2 linked regions of the Tribolium castaneum genome follow. The protein of the gene in region 1 purifies or fractionates together with the protein of each later gene. This does not show direct contact. Links are inferred from orthologs where the notes say so. Each region holds a gene or a part of one and is shown on either strand. Other genes may lie near its edges.

What was found. Proteins that work in one complex are often made in the same cells at the same time.
Region 2: the proteins of Sas10 (region 1) and U3 small nucleolar ribonucleoprotein protein IMP3 purify together in Homo sapiens (affinity purification with mass spectrometry; 3 studies listed by BioGRID and IntAct, with this or other methods). This does not show direct contact. The link is inferred for Tribolium castaneum from reciprocal best matches to the Homo sapiens genes UTP3 and IMP3.

The regions. Positions count from the first base shown.
Region 1 is NC_087402.1:9,104,564-9,107,992, forward strand, and holds Sas10 (something about silencing protein 10), read right to left. Parts: upstream 2,155-3,429; 5' UTR 2,043-2,154; coding exon 1,999-2,042; intron 1,952-1,998; coding exon 1,540-1,951; intron 1,498-1,539; coding exon 1,247-1,497; intron 1,197-1,246; coding exon 850-1,196; intron 804-849; coding exon 667-803; intron 617-666; coding exon 524-616; 3' UTR 501-523; downstream 1-500. Other genes in the region: V-type proton ATPase catalytic subunit A, read left to right, coding at 1-111; CLK4-associating serine/arginine rich protein, read left to right, coding at 2,357-2,455, 2,505-2,602, 2,650-2,945, 2,992-3,265, 3,313-3,429. UniProt on the Homo sapiens protein: Essential for gene silencing: has a role in the structure of silenced chromatin. Plays a role in the developing brain. Part of the small subunit (SSU) processome, first precursor of the small eukaryotic ribosomal subunit.
Region 2 is NC_087400.1:10,480,881-10,483,721, forward strand, and holds U3 small nucleolar ribonucleoprotein protein IMP3, read left to right. Parts: upstream 1-1,226; 5' UTR 1,227-1,294; coding exon 1,295-1,431; intron 1,432-1,476; coding exon 1,477-1,584; intron 1,585-1,631; coding exon 1,632-1,735; intron 1,736-1,781; coding exon 1,782-1,957; intron 1,958-2,007; coding exon 2,008-2,028; 3' UTR 2,029-2,341; downstream 2,342-2,841. Other genes in the region: serine/threonine-protein kinase GL21140, read right to left, coding at 164-388, 438-764. UniProt on the Homo sapiens protein: Component of the 60-80S U3 small nucleolar ribonucleoprotein (U3 snoRNP). Required for the early cleavages during pre-18S ribosomal RNA processing. Part of the small subunit (SSU) processome, first precursor of the small eukaryotic ribosomal subunit.

The sequences.
Region 1 (3,429 bases):
AGCAGTATGAAGTTCAAGGACCCAGTTAAAGACGGCGAGGCGAAAATCAAAGCCGATTTTGACCAGTTGTACGAGGATATTCAACAAGCCTTCAGGAACTTGGAGGATTAAATTAGTTTTATTGTAGGCCGTATATTTAACCTCACTATAAAATTGCCGTCTTTCGATATTAATGTACAATATGTTTATAAATGAATTAGTTCATAGGTCTAAGTCCTATAGATTAGAGGTGAGGGTAAATTGCTAAATTTCGTCCCTTCATTCCAGTTACTTTTAAGGAATTTTTATTTTCGTGTTTCCGTGCAATTATCAGCTTTCCAGTATTATCGGGACCTTTTTTTCTTTACATTTTATTTTTTCGTTATTTACGCATATTTCGATGTTGTATATTTTATCATGTTATTCAAACGGCTACTTGTACAGTTATCTGTGTTAATATTAAGTGAACTAGCTAGAAAATAGCACAATAAATTGTTTTATTGTAAACAGAAATAAAAGCATTGTTGTTTCATATGCGTTTTTATTAAGTCTTAATTTTAATGCTCTTGGAAACACTTGCTTTAATCCCGGAAAGCTCCCCACCATATCTCGTCATTTCGGTTCGCGGCTCACGAACCTAAAAATAGCGCAATTAAATTTAAGAAAAAATACTAAAAGTTGACATACAGCTCCTCTCCTTCGTATTTTTGCTTTTCTAAACTTGTTCCTATGCTTCACTCTTGGATTTCTTTGTTCCTTCTTTCTGTGCGGCGTGAGACCCTTATTTTTGGCAATCTGGTAAGTTATAGCCCTCTTGCCAGGATCTACAACAAAACATGACTAAAAAATCGCAACAAACAAAAATCAAACCATTCTCGGGAACATTTGCCTCTTCGTCTTGCATTTGCTGTTCATTATCTGTTGCTTCTTTTTCGTCCACTTCTGGTTTAAATTGGACTTTTTTCCCTGCTGGTTTCTTGTCTTTCTTTTCCGTTTTGTTAACCAATGTGCTCAACACCTTTAATGTTTTTTTCGGAACTTCTTTTTCTTCTTCATTCAAGAGTAACTCAATTTGGGGCTTAATCACCTCTTCGAAAACTGGCGTCATTTGTGATAACAGTTGTCTGTATTGGTACAAACGTTTTATGATTGGGTGGTTTTGCACGTTAACTCTTGAGGCTTTCAACAGTAAATACATGTTGATGTTAACGCAATAACTACAATTTTGTGAATTAGGAAAAATAAAATAGAAAATTGAGAAAAATACTTTAAAATTAATTCGTGGTGAGTCACCACAAACTCCATTGCTGAACAGTTGGGGATTTGCCCCTTTTTAAATTTAACCAAAACTGGTTTGAGGAAGTCTCGAGCGACAACCATTTTTTCTTCAAAATCTTCAACCAGTCCGAAGAATTCTGGCGATTCCTTTTGCAGTATTTGTAATTTTTGCCTTTTACTTAATTTGGAAATGTCGCTTTTGATCAATTCTTCCGACACTTGTTTATCGTCCTCAATGACCTATCCACGATTTAGTAAAAAATCAAAAAATTTAAACCCTACCTTTTTGGTGGGCACATCCAAGCAAAAATCATCATCGTCTAGCTGTTCAGCCAACTGTTTTTGTAAATTCCTTGCTTCCTCTTCCTCCAATTCGGCCAAGTGGGCATCCTTACCTTGGAAGCCCCCATAGTCAGGGTCTACGTAGTCTGTTGAATAAAACTTCCTCTTGTCTTTGCCCCAGGCCCTAATATCAGGCAAATCGTCTTGGTCCTCTTGCTCCTCAACGTCACTCAGTGCAATATCACTTTGGTCATCGTCATCGTCAGTGCCAGAACCCACCCCAAACACTTCCCCCTCACTGTCTGAGTCTTTAGATTGTTTGTTTCGCACTTTCTTCAGAAGGATTTTCTCGTTTTCGGTATAATCCTCGTCAGAATCTGTAGGGTTGTAGTCACTTTCATTTTCGTTAAATCTAGAAAAAGGAGTTATAAGTGTTACAAAAAAATAATGTAACACCACCTTATATGAGACATGCTTTCACAAGACTTCAAACTTGTCCACATGCAAAAAGTGAGGTTGTGTAACGTAATGACGGGGCGGGAGAATCAAAAACCCTAAACAAAAATAATTATCGCAACAAAAAATCAATTTTGTCTGTTTTTGTTGTGAAAATATTAAAGTAGATTCATTTATATGGCGATGAGCTATTAAAAAATTGTTAATTTTTTAGGAGCATAAAATTAAAGTGAGCGCGTCCTTGGGTTAGCGCAACGCGCGTTGACAGATGTGTGAAATGTGATGGCATTTTTATTTCTTGTAACCGCCTCTTAATTATTGTTATTTTCGGTTGATTACACAAGTTTTAAACATAAAAACCATGTGGCATGAGGCAAGACGACAAGAACGCAAAATTCGTGGCATGTTGGTGGACTATCGGCGAAGGGCAGAACGACGCCGTGATTTCTACGAAAAAATCGTATTGTTCCCTCATTTCCTATCCAATTTAATCTACTGTTGTTTTATAGAAAGCCGACCCAACTCAGTTTTTACAAATCCACGGAAGACAATGCAAGATTCACTTGGACCCCTCCATCGCAGCTGCGGCAGACAGTGCTTCGGCAATGTGAGCCCCTATATTACACTAAATGGGCGACAATCAATTTGTTACAGGATGCCGTGGCAAGGACAAGCTGATAATTTAATTGACCGTTTTGATGTAAGAGCACATTTAGATTTTATCCCCCCTGTTAAGAAGGAAGAAGAGGAGGAATTGACGTTTGAAGAACGGCAAATTAATTACGAACGGTACCGGATTATTGCCCAAAACTCGTTCCTTAGCATCAATGAGGAGAAGTTTTTGAAACAATTGCATCTGGAGGAGCAGTTTGGCTACACTGAGTCCAAGTCAAAGAAGGAGCAAAGGACTGGAGGTGCTAGTATTGGGTTTAACTACGAGGACAACACTGGTGGGTTTTAAACGCTGTTGGGGTAAAATCGAGTCGGAATTTTTAGCACAAACTTTGGCCCCTGACTACCACAATGATGAAGAATCAGACGGCAATTCTGATTCTGATTTGGACGTTGATTTGTCCATTAATGTTTCAAAAATGGATTCGGTTCAAGCACACGAAATGAATCGCCACGGCAGAAACTTTGGGATGAGCTCAAATGATTTTTATTCGTTTCTTACAAATGATCTTGAAGAGGCGGAAAGCTTCAGACTTGCCAAAGAAGAAGAGCATGAAAAAGCCTTGTTTTCAGGACGAAAATCGCGAAGGGAGCGCCGGTATTTATCCACAATTAGCTGTATTTTTTATCTAATTTTTTTGATAGAGCACATAGGGAAAAACGTCTGGCTAATAGGGTGATAAGTCCTCCAAGTTACGCCGCACGGACATCACCTACTTACCCTTCGTTTCGGAAAAGTAAATCGCCTTCGAAATCACCGAC
Region 2 (2,841 bases), on another chromosome or scaffold:
CATTAATTGTAGTAAATGCAAAAAAGCTTGTATTTTTTTAACATTTTGAGTTCGTTTAGCGTTTGTGTCCTTTATTATTTTAATTATATAACGAATGAACTGGTTATTGAACTAGTAATTTTATACAGTTACTTGCTGTCTTTTCCGAGCTTGATTTTCGTACCTTTCGGGGCTTAATCCCGTTTCTAATAATGGTGACTATACGAGGCCGAACACAATCTGGAGGTATAATTCTTGGAGTGTGTGTAAGTGAGTTATTAAATTTCGTATTGGACAGTTTTTTTGATCGCAAAGTGTCGGTTTTCGTGTATTCGATTCGTTTGAACATCTCGCCTTTCCCACTACAGACGTACTCCTTACCGTCCTCTAAATCGTCCAAACTACAAACCTGGGCGAAAAAATTATTTATGGTGTCTTGATATCTGATCGGTTAATACTTTTTTGCCTTCCATTGAGTAGATGTTGCGCACACCGCTGGGGAGAGTAACATTCTTAGTCAGAATGTTCGTCAGTTCGGTCGTCAGACTGTCAAAAGACCTGTACCGTTCGGGGGCCACTGGTATGACAACTCCGTTAAAAAACTTATTCCCGTTATGGTAAAATCGGATTCTTTTCGCTTTCTGCGTCCGCGACGTCGACGAGGGCCTGCTTTTACTCAAATTTAGCTCTTCAATGCCGTTATCGATGATTTCAAAGTCGGACTGTATGCTGTTACAACTGGTCGAGGAGACGCTTCGGGAGCCGCTGATGTTGTTCTTCGACATTTTGCCAAGTGGGATCGTCACAAGGGGCGTGAAATCATCGTAACATCGTTGGTGTTTAATCAATGGGGCTGTTTTTAACCAAAACTACAAACTGGTACCGCCTATTTGCCAGCTGTCACCGAAACTACACCAAACATCAACTCCACAGATCCCCAAACCACTCTTTAGCGATTTTCAAGGTACACTTCACACACAACACAATCAAACTATAATCTCATTATGAAAAAATTAGATTTTGTGCTAAACTAACTGTTTTTACGGTTAAAAAGGTAATAACCTCTTTTCGGCAAGTGGGAGGGATGCTTGTTACGCATGGCAGCCAACCCCACGAAAATCACAGCTAAATTAAACGAAACGTAATTTCACAAACCGGACCTTATCACACGTTGGACACGGCCACAATCACAGATTGTTTAACAAACTGATTAAAAATAGCCCGCGTGAGTCAACAATTAATCAACAAATTAAATATTTTGGCCGGCGGAGTTGGCACACATGAGTGTCACCTTGACTGATCACAATTTTCAAAAATGGTCCGGAAATTAAAATTTCACGAACAAAAACTCCTGAAAAAAGTTGACTTCATATCGTGGGAAGTCGACAATAATTTGCACGAAGTGCGAGTGCTCAAAAAGTACCACATTCAGAAACGCGAGGATTATACAAAGTGAGGTTAGGTCGGTTTTGACATTTGTTTTATTTTATTTTGTAGTTACAACAAATTGGCCCGTAATATTAGAGAACTGGCCCGCAAAATTAAAGAAGTGGACGCTAAGGACCCCTTCCGGACTGAGAAAAGTGCCCAATTGTTGGAAAAACTGTAAGTTGGAACGTTGTCAAAAGTGAGGTTATGTTTTTTATTTTTAGGTATTTAATGGGGTTAATACCGACAAGGTGGGACTTAAGTCTGGCCGAGAAAGTGACAGCTTCGTGCTTTTGTCGGCGGCGACTGGCCGTTGTAATGGTTAGAAGTAAGTCGTTGTTATTGTTAGAATTTTGCCCCAAATTAATTTCTAGATAAAATGGCTGAAAATATTAAGGGGGCTACTAAATTAATTGAACAGGGGCATGTCAGGGTTGGGCCCGAGTTGGTCAAAGACCCAGCATTACTTGTAACTAGGACTTTGGAAGATTTTGTAACGTGGGTCGATAATTCCAAGATTAAACAACATGTGCTTGAATATAACGGAATGGTAAATTTTTTAAATAATGTAGAACGTGGTTTTTACCATTTTTTTTCCAGAGAGATGATTTCGTGTTGTGATAACATTTTCCTTATTAATTTTAAGTGTAGGTGGCAACACTGTCAACTAAATTTAAATTTGGTTACTCAGTTGGTTTGGTAAAACGAAACACCAAGTCCTTATAAATTTTTATTGTTTTTCCAAAACATACAGGAATTGTAAATCATTATGCCATACATGAGTGTATCAAAAATAAACAAAACCCAATTCTAAATCTTGAAAACTACAATTAAGATGATTACCAACTGTTGATACATTTAAGCAGAAGTTGTTCCAAAAGGTAGACTTTTCAATGTCTTTCTAATAATAATTCAACAAAGAAAGTGAAACAAACATTCGTTATTCGTGTTTTTCTCGTCATCTCTAATTTGTCAACATTCGTTTCCTGCACCAAAGATAACACTAGTTATTCCGCATACGCTATGCAATACTTGTGAAGCCTCAAAATTTGTACAACACACAAAATATCCAAATAAGCGCTTTTTCCGCCATTTATGGTTACTTTTTTGACCTAGCTGAGTGGCGTCTCCAACGGTAATTTTACTAAATGATTTGTCAACACTCCATAGTATACACACCAAGTCCTTGTATAGAGGTGGTTCCAAATCTGGTGGCGAACTGTCAGTGACATAAAAGTCTCTTGCACTCACTTGGTTAAGATAATGAAATACATAGACGTGCATTTTTTTCACTAAAATTTACCCAGTTGTTATTTTAACATTAATAAATTTTGAGAACGAAGATACATAAAAAAATTACTATTACTGTTAATAATCTGATCATTATTCTTCATCTTACGGATCTCATTATATTTTTTTTAAGACTATCAGTGG